Linked DNA regions of Caenorhabditis elegans. The protein of the gene in region 1 purifies or fractionates together with the protein of each later gene. This does not show direct contact. Each region holds a gene or a part of one and is shown on either strand. Other genes may lie near its edges.

Region 1 (7,369 bases):
GCATGGAAGCGAGAAATTTGATTCACAACATTTGAATGTACACAAATCATAGTTTCCTATAACTACCATATAAAAGTTTGAAAAAATATCGCAAGAAAAAACCACAAACTTATTTCTCACCCTAATAGTTTCAAATACTCTTCCTGTGTTTCCATACTGTTTTTTCTGTCTAACTATATAACAATTTTCAGATTATCCTTATCGATGGCTTCTCAGAATTCCAAGATAGCTGTCAGACAGTTTACACATCTTTATAAACTTAACTTGATAATATTTGTGTCAAAACGAATATTTGTTGCAGTATGTGAGGAACCAGGTTTTCCTCATCTTTCTTTTGCTCCTGAATTGAAGAAGGATATTGAATCACTAAGGAAAATTTGGAATCTACCGGAAAGCGTTGCCACCCAAAAATGCTTCACAAGCTCGGCTCTTGTTTTTACATATAACAAGGAAACTATGGATGAGCGAATTGTGGGATTGGTGAAATTATTGAAAGATGTATTCAAATCCGAAAATGTGATTGTGGAAATAGACAAAGAAAAACTATTGATGATGTTCGTAACATTACAAACCTCTTGACCACAGCAATGGGTTCCAGGATAAATTCAATGATGGTGGCGAGAGAATTAGTGAATGAAGTCGGCCATATGATCACTGAAGATGAGGTCGGCAGATTGGGAACTGTGAGGAAATGGGCCCCCAGTCCCCCAGAATATGATGAGTTCTATATTGGGTTTGATGATTGGGAAACTGCTTGTACTCATTGTTATTAAACTCGTGCTCCTCTACAAATTTCATTCAAAATTTTGTTGTAATGGGCGAGCCTGAATTATCTTGAAAAACTTACATTTTGCATCTATTTTTCAAGCTGTTCCTATTACAAACTCTATTGTTCAAAGTTTTTTTTTAATTTTCCGGAACTTGTGTAGTATACCTGCCAAAGAAAGTCAATCATTTTGAAAATATAACGTGCCTTTTTTTGTCTATATTAGGCTTAGAATTAGTGTTTTTTAAACCTAAAAATGCATATTAATTTCACTTTTCGATTACCGTATGTTCTCTATTAGTATTGCACCCAAAGAAATTAGTCTTGCAGTCTCTAATAGTATTGCACTGAAAAGGTATCCGGAAATTAGTATCGCATGCAATACTATTAGAAAATATGCCGGAAAAAATTCTCGGCAAATTGTGGTTTCGCACTTTTTTTTTGGAAATTTCAGAGTTTCAATTTCAAATGACAAAATTGTACGCATCGTATAAATGTTCCTACATCTATTTTTAAAAGTAAGCTCTATGAAAATATGTAGAAAAAACAGAAAAAATTCATCCGTCTGTTAAAAAATCCCTTTAAAAATTTCCGGCAAATCGGCCAAAGGGAAAATTGCCGGAATTTAAAATTTCAGGTTTTTACCTAAATTAACTAATGTAAGTACCAATTTCCCTCCCAAGTCCAGAACTAAGCTCCCATCATCATTTTTATTTACTCCACTCTCACTTAAATTTTTTTCAAAAACTTGTATTTATTGCCTTCTTCTGTTATTCCTTACCTCGCTCATCACATAATGATTTCATTGTTTTACTTTCTATCCACTCCCACTGCAAAAATTGAAACCTTTTTCACTTTTTTGCTCGCATTTCCTTATTAAAATTAATAAAAATTTTTAAATTAAGCCCTGAACGCACACTTTATTTATAAAATCAAGGCAAAATCAAGTTCAGTTCTAATTCGATGTGGTTGTATTGGTGGTAGAAGTGCTGGCGTGTCACTTTCCAGAACGAGCGGCTTTGGCCGATTCGATTGGGTTGATTCTCTGAAAATTTTCAATTAGCTGTTCCCCAGCCGGGAATATCTCACCGAGTAGATGTATGTTGCTTCCGGTTCCTGTGTATCAAACTGGACCTTCTTGTCGGAATACTCATCATCCACTTTTCCATCACTCAGCGCTCGAGCACTCTCATGGACAAGCAACAGACTCCGAATCGTGTTGGAGAACACCAGCCCGGTCTCAAAGTGAACTTCATCTCTCTTCTTCAACTCCACCAACGGTTGTAGCTCGTTGAGCACCAGTTTCGTGGGGGGAATGCTTTTGAGACTGAGCTTCTTGTTTCGGTACATCTCCAAATGATCGGTACTCACAGTGATCGCCTCGTCGGTCTCTTTCTGAAATTTTTTAAAATTATTTTTCCTGAGACCTACACAAAAAGATAACTCACCATGTCATCGTCAGTTGGTTCTATTTTTACTGCCCAGGTGGGGACGTCCTGACCCTTGTACACATCTTGCTCTGGTTCCTTCTTAATGTCCTCCAATTTTCGAACGTGATCATAAGAATCCTCAACGGGAAGTAAAGACGTCTTCAGTTTCTTCTTTGAAGTGTTGGTACGGTAGAAAGTGGATGGCTCGTCGCACAACATCATACCATCGGGCTTATTCTTCAATCGATATGGTTTTTTCGGCACTCGATCCATCAGAAGCTTGCTTTTCGCATCGATTGGTTTCGGTTTCGCCGCCGACTTCTTCTTTTCCCTCAACTTCTTATAGACTCGCTCCGTCGTCTTATCATCCACCTCGTGATTCGTGACCTCGATGTTTTTCGGTTCGTTGAGCCGTGTCGTTCCGGGAACTGAAACAGGAAATTGTGGAGGTGTTAGGGTTTTGGATTTTCAGGTAGGTACAAAGATGCCTGCCTACCTACCTACTAAGGTAGGTAGGCATTTTAGTGTCTACCTAAAGGCAGAAGATGAACAGGCAAGCACAATTTTTTTGTTGGAATTTTTTTTATACGTCATTAAATAATTTTGCTTCCACGTGGACGTCGTGGATTTCAATGTTTCAAATTGATTTTTTTTTTTCGAATAAAAAATGTTTCAAGAGTTTCCAGAGGCTTTAAAAATTTTTCATAAGCTTTCAAAAATGTCTAGATGCTCCCAGAAGCTTCTGAAAATTTTTGGAATTTTTCAAAGTCATCAGACGTTCCAAAAACTTTCCAGAATCTTCCAGAAATTTTCCAAAGGTTTCTAAAACTTCCGAACCGTTTAAAAAACTTTCCTGAGCCCTTTAAAAGTTTCCAAAAAAATTTCAAAAAAAAAACACTAGAACTCACTGCGATTTGCATTAGGAATCTCATGATCTTTTACAGCTTCCGGTGCTTTTTCCTTGTAATTCACCGTTCTTGAATCATTTTTCCTTGCTATCAACATCTTTTCCGACTCTTTCGATTTATCCACCGACAAAGATCCACTAGTTGACTTAGTTTTTGTCTTCTTATTTTTACCATGTTGCTTCGACTTTTGAAGTTGTTGCTTTTTATGACTGCGTGCCTTAGATTTCTTTTTCTGAAATTTAATTAGTTCTGGAAGACGCCTGGAAATTGAAAATTTCGAAAATCACAACTTACTTTTTCGTTAATATTTTTAACTTTTCTTCTCGAGCTTTTTTTGGACAATTTCTTCATGATGGGAGAAGATGCAACGCGAAAGTTTCGAAATACAAAAATAATGAAAAAATTCAGAGTGGGGGTAGGGGATGTGATAAGAATCTTCTCGTATTTTTGAAGTTCACGTTTTTTTTAAATTGAACTTTTGGTGCAGTTTTTTGGAGTAATTTATTTTATTTAAATTAAAAAAAAACATTTTCTTAACCTTTCCAATGTACATAAGCACAAATGTGCCACTTGCCTGCAAGGCGACCTATGCCTTCAGGCGAGAAATATGCGGTAGAGAGGTAGAAAAAACGTATTCTGGTTTTGAAGATATATATTAATTTAATATTGCATAACTTTTTTCGGTTTCGCACGAAAATTTCTACACGCCTTTGAAACGGCCTACGCCTGCCTTTTGCCTACAGTAGATAGGCCCATAGGCAGGCAGGAAAGCCCAACTAGTTAAAATGTTATTTTTTAATTTTCAAGTTCACGAAAAATGTTAGTCTGCAGGCCACTAGAACCACCTACACCTGCCTCGTTCTACACACATTCCTAAAATAGGCGGTAGGCAGGCATAAAATTTCAACATTGCAGGAAAACATGCCATTGTTGTAGTTTCTCTTGAAATTTTCGCGCCGATACAAAAATGATAGCTGCCTACTAGGCGACCTGCGCCTGCCTCGTGCCTAAAATAGGCAGTAGGCAGGCACGTAGGCACTTTGTCCAGAAAAAAGGTTTTATTCACATTTTTTGGTGCATTTTCAAGAAAAATTTCTATATTTGAACTTTTCCTCTCCAAAAAGTTATAGTTTCCAAAAAACTTGTAGTCTCCATACCTGATAAGTCGTTCAAAAATCAGTGAGCATTCCCAACGTGTCATCGCCATGTGCTTCTCCCGCTCCAAATTTCTTATCTTTATTACTGGAAACCTCGGCTTCTCCCCCTCCGCCGCTGCTCCCGTTTAACATCAGAAACGATACGGCTCCGATGCTCCTAGGTCTTCTCGTCCTTTCTCTCGCATTTCAGGGTAGAGTTTTAGATTTACATTTTTGTGTTTAAATTCCAGGAAAAAATTTTCCAGGCACCCTCGCGGTGACAGAATGCGAGGAATGCAAGTCAATTGTGGACCTTTTGCAATTTGAGTGGGGAGAAAAGAAGACTGAAGAATGTGTTATGGAAATTGCGGTTTTTATTTGTGAAACGTTCCATATTGAAGATAATGATGTCTGTAACTTTATTATTTCGGATTTCTCAGTGAGACACATTAATATTTAATTTAATTTTAAAAATGTATTGAAAATCAAAGATTTCAGGACGAATTCATGTATGTCATCAAGCAAATTCTCGTGACTCCACATCAACTTTGCGGATTGCTTATGAAAAATGGTAAGTACTACCATGCCTAGGCACAAACATGCCTACCTACATGCCTACTACCAGACCGACGCGTAACAGTGACCCGCCGCCCTAATAGAACATGGGGTGCGGGGCGGCTTGAGAAGATTCTAGTAGACTGCCAAGCTGATCACTATCTTTCAGGCTAGTCACGCATGTAGGCGCGTAGGTAGGCACGATTGCATGCCTATTTGGAATTATTTCAGACTGCGGAGACTTCGTGGATCCATTGGCGACAATTTGGAACATGACGATTCCTGGAAATCAGCCACCATTCGTGCCGAAACAAGTTGTTCCGGTAGGTTTTTTTTTTGACAAAAAAGGTATGCCTACCTATGCCTGCCTACTACTGTCTACTGCCAAATTTTCCGAATGCCACTAGATAAGTGGTAGGTTTGCACGTAGGCATAAACAGGCGCCTACCCCGACACCAACAAAACCTCCAATTTTCAGCCAGGCAACCCAACTCTGCGAGCACTTCACTTGACCGACCTTCATGTTGACATGTTCTACACGGTCGGGCTCGAGGCAGACTGTGGAACTCCGCAATGTTGTCGACCACAAGATATGAATGTGGTATGGTGTTTAATTTGGAAAATTGTTGAGAAAGAGGGAGAAAGAGCAACGATCACAAAGGTTGCTGAAAAATATTTATTTGATAAGGAAGTTGAGATGGGAAGGAGAAGCCCCCGAAGTTGGGGGGTTTCTATTTGAAATTTTTGAATGAAGAAATACTTAACAGAACCTCTACAGAACTCTGCACTTTTAACAAATATGACTATGTAACGCTAGAAAACAAGTACTTGTCAGAAGCATTTCAAAAATTTGACTTCGCGCGTAATTGAAGAGGCCGCCGACCAATCAGCGATGCACAAAGGGCGTGGCTCTTGTCGCTGATTGATCGGCGCGATCCTCACGTAGGCACGTATAAACCCTTAACTTTTTTCAGGAAATCGTTGAAAACGGAGATGTCAAACAACCTGCTGGACCTTGGGGAAGTGTTGGTTCGTGCGACACACCTTATTGGCTTCTCACGAACATGCTCCAAAACATCGCAAGTACCGCTGGAAAACTGGACTACATTATGGTATCCGGAGACCTTGTGTCCCATACAGTTTGGGCGTACACTCCGGAAACCCACTCGTTTATGGTAAAAAACTTGTCGGATACGATTCGCTCGTATTTCCCAAAAACTCCGGTCTACTTTGCAGTCGGGAATCATGAAGGAGTTCCTGTTGATAAGTGGGTGAACTTGTATTCTATGTTTATCACTCACGACCATTTTTACAGTATTGCACCACATTTCACACCGAAGAAGTATCATATGGATTGGCTCTACAAGGCCATGTCAAACGCCTGGCAGGGATGGATTCCAGCGGATCAGGAGAAGAGTTTGGAATAGTTGGGTTTTTTGAAGAGTTTGGGAAAAAAATTGTAAGCATCTCAATTTCAGTAACGGATGCTACATGAAGAAGATCTATGATGGGCTTCGAATGATTTCGCTGAATAATGTTTATGGAGATCGCATCAATTTGTAAGTGAGGGTACGGTGAGGTGTACGGGAGGGGTACGACAGGATACGGTAAGGGTACGGTAAGAGTATGTTAGGAGTACGGTAGTTTTGCGATAGGGGTACTGTCGAGGTACGGTAACATACAATATAGGTGCTTTATGATTAGGGGTATGATAGGTGTACGGTGGGGTCTTAGGCAGACATCATATGGCACTGTTGGGGTACTGTTGGGGTACGGTAGAATACGGTAGGATAAGGTACGGTGGTGGTACATTAAAGGTATGGTGAGGTACGGTTGGGGTACCGCGAGATACGGGAACAATATGGTAGGGTACGGTAGAGGTACAGTATCGGCGCGGTACAAAACGGATGCAGTAGGGACACGGTGTGGTATAACTGGTGTACGAGAGGGATACGGTAGGGAGACGGCAGAGTTACGGTAAGGACACTGTACGATAAGAATACGGTAGGGATACGGTAGGGACACGGTACGTTATGATTGGGGCAGGCTAGGGGTACGGTAGCGGTACTGTAGGATTACAATAATAATGTTTTCAGCTGGCTATACATCAACCAAACTGACCCAGATGGCACCCTTCAATGGCTCATCAACCAGCTCCAAGATGCAGAAAATGTTGGAGACAAGGTACATATCGTTGCACATATCCCTGGATCCGACGGAGAAGCTCTTGAAGGATATGCTCTAAACTATTATAAGATTATCAATCGGTTAGTTTCAAAAGTTAGAAGAGAAGTACGTAAAAATTGTAAATGATTTCAGATACGCAAACACAGTTGTCGGTCAATTCTTCGGGCACACCCACTCTGAAAAGTTCTACATGATGTACGCGAACCCGGATGACTATAAGTCTACTCCAACTAAGTGAGTAACTGGAACTACGGGCTTCAGATAATGTGTTGCGTTTAGTGTGGTCTACTCGGCTCCGTCTGTGACACCCTACTCGGATTATTTCCCGGCTTATAGAATCTACACAATTGATGGGGTCCACAAGGGATCAACTTATGTACGTATAGT
Region 2 (10,210 bases), on another chromosome or scaffold:
AATCCCCATAATTTCAAATTCTGTAACTTTACCCACTTGCAGGCCAGTGCTATAAACTGTGCATGTTATAATTTTAATAGAGACTAATATGGTGGTTCCTCATTAGTGAAACCATACAACGGTTCTAAACGAGATTTAAAATTTTGCACTGAAAAATAAACGTTGCATTGCTTTAAAAATGATATTATAGATGCGGAAGATTTCTGAAACTTTTTATTCATTCAAACGTTTTCAAAAAAGTTTACTGAAAAATTTCCAGATCGACGTTTCAGGGAATAAAACCTATTCTGAACATGGGCTTTTTGATCGTGTACAGAATTACAATTTATAATAGCTTAAAATCATAGGTATTATTATTATAGGACTAAAACATATCTACCACACAGCTGTCACATAGTTAATCTCAAGAAAATAGAGGGCAATTGTGACCAACGAGTTACTGTACCAAAGTGCCTTCTATTAGAAATGCTCACCGATGGTTATTCCCAGTGCAATTGAGCTGTAGCCCATAAAAGTGTGTTCTTCTTGCAAACGAAACATCGAATGGTGGAATTTGTTGAAATGACGATTTGTCAAGAAGCTGCGGATCAAAATTTTTTGAATGATTCGCAAAAAAGTGTGCAAGTTGAATAAGCCTAGGAAATTTCAGTGCAACCGCTGTTGACAGAAAGTGCTCTGCTTCAACTACATGCCCACATGGGTAGGGTTGATCTAGCGAGCTGAGGAGCTCGGTCAGCGGCTGTCCACCTTCAGTAACGGTGTTACGCGCCCCGAATGTCGGTGATATATGAAACAAGGAATACTGTAGAAAGATAATAAATATGTGATGATACCATGGAGTGTATGACGACGATGACGACGTCGTCGTCGTCGGACGCCTCATCGATTCAGAGTGTGTGCTCTGCTGGCGGCGGCGACGGCGGCTCTGTGTGTGTGTGCAGCAATAGCCCGTGTGCTGCTGAAGGGAGAGGCTCCAGGCCGTGAGAGGACCCTAGAAAGATTGAAGAGGTGACAGACACAATGAGAAACTTTGTGCTCTTGTAACGTCTGCGTCGTCTTCTCACAAAAAAAGGAAAAGTCTTCTTCTTCTTCTTCTTCTTCTTCTTCTTTGCTCAAAAAGGAGAAGACGTTGAAAAGATAGAAGGCGTCCCCCCTCCCATGTATTACACATGAGTGTCTTGTTTTTTTATTTATTTTCGGATGGATTGGGGGGAGGGGGGTGTTAGTTAGCCTAAATGCATTCGCATACACACACACACACATTCAGAACAAAATAAATCTTTTGTAACGACTTAATGTAATGAGGACCTCAGTTGACTAACCCCATACTTATATCTTTAAATGGGTTCTGTGGATGAATATGGTCTTTAAAATCAACATTATGGATCCGATATACACGGTATACGCCAATATATGGGTCACAAGTCAGCACATTGGATTTTGAAAAGTAATACTTGTCTTCGTCTCTAGCTGAATTTGAATCCAACTACAGTGCTGGCCATAAAGGTATGTACAAACGGTTTTTTCATGAATATCGGGTGGTGTTTAATTAAGCATAACTCAAAACTGAACATTTTTTTCGAAAACGGTCAACTAACAAAACGTTGGTCATTATGTTGTTTGCATTATCTGATAAGTATTATTTTACATAACTACCTTGATGGACTATTGTTAGTATCCCAAAACACATTCTAAAACTGAATGGCTTTCACTGATTTGTGGGAATTTTCCCGATTTCTAGATTTGATCAATGAGTCATGAGACAAAAGGACGGAGAACAAACAATACTATAATACTATATACGATCCCAATTTCTTTTTCACACACACATACTTTTCACAGAAACAAAACCTTTTACAGAAAATAGATGATACTTGTGCAAAATGAGACGTTTTGACAGAAATCGGGAGTCAAATGAGATATGAGTGTCTGCTTTCCCATAATATAATTAGGCACTGGAAAAGAGACAAGAAGAGAGAGAGAGAGAAAAGAGTTCTTAAGGAGACTTCTACCGTTGTAGTTTTTGAATTAAAAAACGACTTTTTTTCTTTTTCACTTATTAGTGATTTTGAACAACTTCAGAACATAAATTTTTTTTGACCACAAAAAAAGGGCGAAACCAAAATGTTGAAACTCTTCTAAAATGGTTAATTTTATAGCTAGGCGACTCAAAATTTATCTCCAAACAATAAAAAATTGCCTTTTTTCAGAATATAGTGGTTTTGCACACTTTGAGAAAAATTATTTTTTTGCCCAAAATAAAAGAAAAAGGACAGTCATTAGATGGCCGAAAAAAAATTTTCAGAAAATCTAGGTATAACCCATCAAAAACTATTAAAAAATGGCAAAAATGGGCAATTTATGGCAAAAATTCACAACTTTGAAACACATCTAAAATGGGCAATTTTGAAGTTAGATGACTCTAAATTGATCTATAAAGACTAAAAAATTGTCCATTATCAGAATATAGTGGCTTTGAACATTTTCAGAAAACTTTTTTTTTTGCCCAAAATAAAAAAAGGACAGTCATTAGATGGCTGAAAAAAAATTGGGCAAAAATCAAAAGGTGAAAACGGGTAATTCATACACGCTGAATTCAGAAAATCTAGGTTTAACCCAAAAAAAAACTATTTAAAAGTGCCAAAAATGGTCAAAGCTTTTATTTTCCGATACAAAATTTGCTAAAAATTCCATCTAGAACACTTTCAGTGACAATTCCCTCGGTGAGCTCTCCGATTTGTTCCAAGGCAACTTCCAGATGTGAACACATGATTGCTGCGTCGTTACACGTTACAGCTGACTCCAATTCGAATGAGCATCTTCTGAAATTAAAACAACTTTGAATATTATTTTTTGACAAAAAAAAACCTTAACAGATCTGCATCTAGTAAATAACTTGCTTCAGGACACAGATCATCTACAATTTCTCCCAAACAGTTTTGAAGTTGTTTGCAGCCAGTATCTGTGGTAGCATTTGTAGATACAGTAGTGAAATTTGAGGGAAGTTTTGGATACTTCAGACTCAGATCAGACTTATTCTTTGCAATAATCACACGAGCTTCGCGATTTCGCATCACTTCCACGTCATTCAAAATCGATTCAACATCGTCATCCGACGTGAATTGTGGATCCACGACAACGCAGATAATGTCAGCTGATTGGATTCGTTTTTGAGCACGTCGAATACCTTCTGCCTCAATGACGTCATTAGTTTTTTGTCGAACTCCAGCAGTGTCTGTGAGACGGCATCGAACTCCGTTAATTTGAATGATTGTCTGTAAGATTTTCAATTAATGTTTGGAACATTTTCCAGGCACTCTAGGAGTACTGTAGGATTACCGTAGTTTTCGAAAAATTGACTTTTCGTCTTTTGAGCTACAAAATTGCCCGTTTTAGAGAAGATTCAAAATTGTGAATTTTTGCTATAAATTGGCCATTTTTGCCACTTTTTAATAGTTTTTGACGGGTTAAACCTAGATTTTCTGAATTCAACATACATAAATTACCCGTTTTCAACAAATTTAGACAACTTTTTATTTTTGCCCAAATTATTTTCAGCCATCTAATGACTGTCCTTTTTTTTTATTTTGGGCAAAAAAATAATTTTTCTGAAAATGTTTAAAACTACTATATTCTGAAAAAGGTCAATTTTTTTATAATCCTAAATCAATTTTGAGTCCTCTAGCTACAAAATTGCCCATTTTAGAGAAGATTCAAAATTGTGAATTTTTGCCATAAATCTGCCATTTTTGCCACTTTTTAAAAGTTTTTGACGGGTTAAACCTAGATTTTCTGAATTCAACATACATAAATTACCCGTTTTCAACAAATTTAGACAACTTTTTATTTTTGCCCAAACTATTTTCAGCCATCTAATGACTATCCTTTTTTTATTTTGGGCAAAAAAATAATTTCCCTAAAAATGTTCAAAACTATTATATTCTTAAAAAGGAAAATTTTTTTAATGTTTGCAGATCAATTTTGAGTCCTCTAGCTACAAAATTGCCCATTTTAGAAGAGTTTCAAAATTGTGAATTTTTACAAAAAATTGGAATTTTTGCCACTTTTTAAATTTCAAAATTGTGTGTTTTAGAGGAGTTTCAAAATTGATTGTTCAAGGGAACGTGGCTAGGGTACTGTAGTAGTACTGTAGGGAATACTGTAGGATTACTGTAGGGTTACTGTAGTTGGAGAAAAACTGGTTTTTCGTATTTTGAAGGGTTATTAGTTTGGTGTTAATAGGGGGATATGATTGGAGTACTGTAGTAGTATTGTAGGGAATACTGTAGGATTACTGTAGTTTTGGAAAAACTGATTTTAGTTTCAGAAAAAAAAATCGCAAAAGAAAATTTGATTGAAATTTTTTGGTTAATTTTTGAAAAATTTGAAAAATTTTAACACTTCAATAGGTTTATATGATCATTTTTACTTCCAAACTATCTCTCGTGGTTCCAGGAATCGAGCTAACAATTGCCACGTCATCATGCGCTAACTGATTTAAAATGCTTGATTTTCCGGAATTCGGTCTTCCATAGAGCACAATATCCAATCCACGTTGAGCCCGTTCTGCACCATCCCACGCTTTGATCATTCGATTGAGTTCATGAAGAATTTCAGAGACATCTTGTTGAGCTTCGCGTAATTCCAAGTTCACGTGTTCTCCAAAATCAATGATCACAAATAGTTTCGATAGAATTTGAATTAATTGCTTCCTGAAATTGAGAGTAAATGTCAGGGGTATGCGGCACGAAGTTTTTGTCGACAAATTCAGCAAATTGGCAAATTGCCGGTTTGCCGAAAATTTCAATTCCGGCAATTTTCCGATTTGCCGGAAATTTCCAATTCCGGCAAATTGTCGATTTATCGGTAATTTCAATTCCGGCAAGTTGCCGATTTCCCGGAAATTTCCATTCCAGAAATTTGTCGATTTGCCGGAAATTTCAATTCCAGCAATTTGCCGATTTGCCGGAAATTTCAATTCCAGCAATTTGCCGATTTGCCGGAAATTTCAATTCCAGCAATTTGCCGATTTGCCGGAAATTTCAATTCCAGCAATTTGCCGATTTGCCGGAAATTTCAATTCCAGCAATTTGCCGATTTGCCGGAAATTTCAATTCCAGCAATTTGCCGATTTGCCGGAAATTTCAATTCCAGCAATTTGCCGATTTGCCGGAAATTTCAATTCCAGCAATTTGCCGATTTGCCGGAAATTTCAATTCCAGCAATTTGCCGATTTGTCGGAAATTTCAATTCCAGCAATTTGCCGATTTGCCGGAAATTTCAATTCCAGCAATTTGCCGATTTGCCGGAAATTTCAATTCCAGCAATTTGCCGATTTGCCGGAAATTTCAATTCCAGCAATTTGCCGATTTGCCGGAAATTTCAATTCCAGCAATTTGCCGATTTGCCGGAAATTTCAATTCCAGCAATTTGCCGATTTGCCGGAAATTTCAATTCCAGCAATTTGCCGATTTGCCGGAAATTTCAATTCCAGCAATTTTCTGATTCGCCGGAAGTTTTCAATACCGACAAATTGTCGATTTGCCGGACATTTCTATTCCGGCAATTTGAAAAAATGTATTATTGAAAAGCTCGTACGATATCATAAGTTTTAATGAAATTTTTAAAAATCCCTATAAATCTTTTTTTTTCCTTTTTTTTTTAAGTTTTTTTTTCCAAAAATTCCAAATCTCGAGGGATTTTTTTGTTTTTTCAAATTGCTTGCGAACAATATAAAATTCCAATTTTTCTCACTTCAATACCTTATTTCAATAGCTCGAACTCCACCACGCATTTGACCAAATGCCGCATTTCGTTCTTTTTCGGTTCGAGATTTAATTAGCCGATCGATTCCTCGAACCTCGGAAATGCTCAATTTTCCGTTGTGAAATGCTCTGTAAATTAACTAAGAGTTATTATAGAGACCCAAAATGTGCATTTAAATGCATTCAAAATATTTTGAAACAGATGTGCAAGCGCGCTCAACTGCGGAAAGTTTGGAATTTTTATTCGGCGGCAAAACCAAAAACTCTAATGTTATTTTGTTTTCATGGTTAAATGAAAAATTAAAGCACTTTTGGACATTTTTTCAACATAAAATTAATTAATAAACGACAGGAAACATAACAAAAATAACGAAAACTTATTGAAAACGTTCGAAATTACGGTTTTGCAGCAGCCAAAACCTAGCGAGACCCAACTTTTAGCCGTGGAGCGCGTTTTAACCAGGGGTGGACGGCAAACAATTTTTCCGGCAAATTGGCAAATCGGCAAATCAGCAAATTGTCGGAATTGAAATTTCCGGCAAATCGGCAAATTGCCGGAATCGCCGAATTTGTCGAAAAAAATTTGCCGAACGGCAATTGCTGCCCATCCCTGGTTTGAACCCCGATTTTTGAAAATCGTATGCTAATAATAACCTCCTCGTGAATTCTCCTCGCTTCGCTTCTCGAACATTTTGAATTCCAGCCAAACATGAGGCAAACTTCACGGCCACGGCCTGACTTCCATGTAGAAAAAACTCGGCTGTGTCTTCTCCGGTAAACGTTTTCGGGCCGGGAAGATATACCGCCATTGCTTCATCGATGATTTTGCTCTCTGAATCGTACAATTTCGTGTATTTCATCGTTTTCGGCTTCCAAACTTTTCGACGGCTCAGCTGGCGGAGTACGGGGAGGCTTTGTGATCCTGGAAAAAATACTGTGAATACTGTGAACAGTAAGCTCAGAAAGCCTTTTTTTGGGGGGGGGGGGGGTTTCGCAAGAGCATCGTACGAATTTTTTCAGAGATTTTTATATTGTTTATGGCTATTTTGGCAGAAATTTTTTCAAAATGAACCATTCGTAACCTAATGGAATTTTTTTTTTCAATTGTTCTGAAAATTAACCTGAAACGCGGAACATCGCAATTGCGCTTGGCAATGTGCCAGACGATAGGGCGAAGATTGTCGACATTTTCTAAATGCCTGAAAAAATTATTCTTTTCCAATTAAAAAAAAATTTGATTACTCGAAAGGTTCTTTTTTTTAATTTCAAAATTTTCACGATCTTAAAAAAATGTTTGAAAATTTAATAAAAAACAGGATCCGTGACAATTTTTCTGGAAAGAAACCGAGATTTTATGAATATATAACTTAAATTTGAGAGAAAAAAGTTATTTATTAAGCATTCAAAAAAAACCCCGTAATTCGATATAATTCAAAACTAAAACAATTAATTATTAATTACACAAAATCTTAATTTCAATTGCTCTTCACATTTCTTCAAATCAGGAATAATCCATTTCGAATCACTCAAATACTTTAAAATCGTTGGTGGCAGAGGAGCTGTTTTGGGTGTCGGTGGTTTTTGTTGACTCGTTTTCAGGGTAAATCGACAGAGGTACTGTAGTGATGGTAGAAGCTCTCGTTTTGTGAGTGGACGTGTTAAATTGACACGCGCTGCTTCGGCTTCATGTCCACGTCGATAGTGGAGCATTTCTTGTTGTCCTGTTAGGGATTGCTGAAAAAAGTTTAGTGTTTTTTTCCGAAAAACTACGATTTTTTTTGATTTTTGAAACATTAAATTATTTTTTTGCTTGAAAAACTCAGTTTTTTTCGGATTTTTGAAAAAAAAACTAATTTCTGAAAAAACTGAACTATTTTCTTTCGGGAATGTGGTTTTTTTTGTGAACAAAAATGGTGATTTTTTAATTTTTTTCTGCAAAAAAGTGAATTTTTTTTAGAACAATCGATTATTTTTCTCGTGATTTTTTTTTGGTTTTTCGAAAAAAAAAGGATTTTTTCTCGATTTTATGAAAAAAAATGGTTGTATTGTGTTTGATTTGTTTTTCAATTTTAATTTTTAAAATTATGTTCCGAAAAATTTTTTTTTGATTAATACTCTTTTTTAATTTCTAATTTTGAGAAAAAAAGGACATACTTTCGGAAAATTTGAATTTTTTTAGTTTTCGAATTTTTTAAAAAGAAAAATAATTATTTTCACTTAAAAAAAATAGTTTTTTTCCGTTTTTCGGAAAAATAATTTGCTTTTAAAAAAATATATTTTCGATTTCCGGAAACATTTTGGGAAAATTTCGATTTTTTTTAACTCTTCGAAAAATATTTTCGACCTTTTTGGCCTGTCACAATTTTTTTTTAAAGTTTTACTCTTTTCCGATTTTTTTAAAATCAAAAATCATAGATATTTTTAAATGTACTACATACCTCTAAACTTCTCTCAATAATTTCCACAAGATTCCAATAGTCACGTGAGACGTATGGCTGCCGACTACCCAAATTCCGTCGTGAATCTTCAAGTGACAAGCGCGAATGATAGACTCTATCTGAAATTATATTTATTTGGAAAAAATTGATTTTTTGAAAAACAATACCTTGAAAATGATAAGAAACAGTGAAAAGATGAGTTTCACTTCGACTGTCTCGAATTAAAAAATATCCGATTGGGCACAAAAGGAGCAGCCGTTCTGCCCATTTCCAGTCCAAATCTCCCCAATACCTGGAATAAAATAGGCATATTTAAATCTTTTTTCAGTTATTTTATTGTTTACCAATCACAATCGTAAAGATCAGAACAAATCACCTTGTTGGAGGGCATAGGAGCATTGAAGGAAACTTTTGTTACTGAAAATAGTTTCAATCTTAACAAAATTAATTGAATTTTAAAATTGAAGATTGTCGATTTACGGAAGTCGTGTACTCCACGAGGAGAAGATTATGATCCGATTCTTTCCGAATTTAATGTTCAAATCGCAATTATATCTCTTTTTCAAAAAACCGTCGCTGTTTCCAGGCGTGGGCGCCATATATTATTAAATCAGCAATTATTTTGCATGAAAATGGAAATTCCCGGCAAATCGGCAAATTGCCGTAATTGAAAGATTCCGGCATATCGGCCAATCGACAAATTTGTTTGAATTTAAAAAAGAAGCCAAAATCCAAAATTTAAGCAAAACATGCAATTTTGACCAAAACCATTGATTTTTCACTTATCCTCGGGGAGTACACGAGCTGCGTAAATCGACATTGTACAGTGTTAGGGGTCGAGATATTGAAAGATTTTTAATCTTTAAATTGAAAAAAAGATTGAAAAAGAATAAGAAAAATAAAATTTTATGAAAATTTTGAAGTAAAAAACTATAAACAATAATAAATATATGTACATAACCGTAATCAGTGAGATTTTTCAAATATATGATGGTAAATTGTAAAAAACTAGGTAAATTATGAAAAAAAATTAATGAGGTTGCTGTTGGTGTTGATGGTGATGCTGTTGTTGCTGTTGCATGTACTGTTGATGTTGCTGATGTTGTTGAAGTTGTTGCATGTAGAGATATTGCTGTTGAGGAGTCATGTTTTGCATCTGGAAATTTTTTTTGGAATTCGAGGATTTTTGGAAAAAATTTTTTTTTCGGAAATTGTGTTTTATTTTTGCAAAATACATCGAAACCCCTTTTTTGAAGTTTTAGGAAATTTAGCTTTTTTTTTGGAATTCTTTGATTTTTTTTCGGAAAAAAAATTGAAAACCATTTTTTTTTAATGTTTAGGAAATTTTGGAATTTTTTTTGGAATTCTTTGATTTTTTTTCGGACAAAATTGAAAACCTTTTTTTAATTTTCAGGAAATTTTGGATTTTTTTTTGGAATTCTTTGATTTTTTTTTTGGAAAAAATCGATTTAAATTCGAAAAATTCAATTTTATTGAATATTCTTTTAAAAATGCGGGGTAGAAAAAGAAATTTACCGAAACTTTTGAAAATTTGGTTTTTTAAAGCTTATGGAATTTCAGATTTTTCAGATGTTCTGTAAGATTGGAATTTTTTTTTGGGAATTTCTAAAAGTTGGAGAAAACTTTCAATTTGTTTTTGTTGGAAATTTCGAAAATTTTGAAGTTCTCAAAACTTTTGGGAATGTTTAGAACCTTTTTTTTATTTTTGGAATTTTCGAAAAAATTTTGAATCTATCAAGTGATTTTAAAAATTATTTTTTTCGAAATTTTCCAAATGTTTACCATAGGATTCATTGTATGCATAGGTGCCGGCATTTGCTGATGATGTGGAAGATGTGGGTGCTGTTGCATATGATGTCCCATTCCATATTGCATTGGGACATGTCCCACAGGTCCAGATGGATGATGAAAAACTGCACCAGGATATTGAGGTCCCATTTGTTGATGCATCGACATATTCGGAATTTGATGTTGAAGTTGTTGTTG

What was found. The genes of interacting proteins can lie anywhere in the genome.
Region 2: the proteins of W03G1.2 (region 1) and mtcu-1 fractionate together in Caenorhabditis elegans (co-fractionation; one large-scale study listed by BioGRID). This does not show direct contact.

The regions. Positions count from the first base shown.
Region 1 is NC_003282.8:520,783-528,151, reverse strand, and holds W03G1.2 (Ribosomal RNA-processing protein 8), read right to left. Parts: upstream 3,501-7,369; 5' UTR 3,456-3,500; coding exon 3,399-3,455; intron 3,337-3,398; coding exon 3,105-3,336; intron 2,625-3,104; coding exon 2,215-2,624; intron 2,162-2,214; coding exon 1,856-2,161; intron 1,812-1,855; coding exon 1,764-1,811; 3' UTR 1,661-1,763; downstream 1-1,660. Other genes in the region: Putative sphingomyelin phosphodiesterase asm-3, read left to right, coding at 4,413-4,452, 4,507-4,679, 4,739-4,811, 5,027-5,118, 5,274-5,396, 5,770-6,062, 6,111-6,221, 6,274-6,354 and 3 more.
Region 2 is NC_003279.8:14,768,044-14,778,253, forward strand, and holds mtcu-1 (TrmE-type G domain-containing protein), read right to left. Parts: upstream 6,965-10,210; 5' UTR 6,954-6,964; coding exon 6,887-6,953; intron 6,688-6,886; coding exon 6,420-6,687; intron 5,895-6,419; coding exon 5,763-5,894; intron 4,713-5,762; coding exon 4,430-4,712; intron 3,276-4,429; coding exon 2,869-3,275; intron 2,823-2,868; coding exon 2,660-2,822; 3' UTR 2,646-2,659; downstream 1-2,645. Other genes in the region: gpr-158 (G-protein coupled receptors family 3 profile domain-containing protein), read right to left, coding at 474-883; F39B2.5 (SH2 domain-containing protein), read right to left, coding at 7,212-7,499, 8,204-8,322, 8,371-8,495, 8,548-8,594; sur-2 (Mediator of RNA polymerase II transcription subunit 23), read right to left, coding at 9,234-9,359, 10,007-10,210.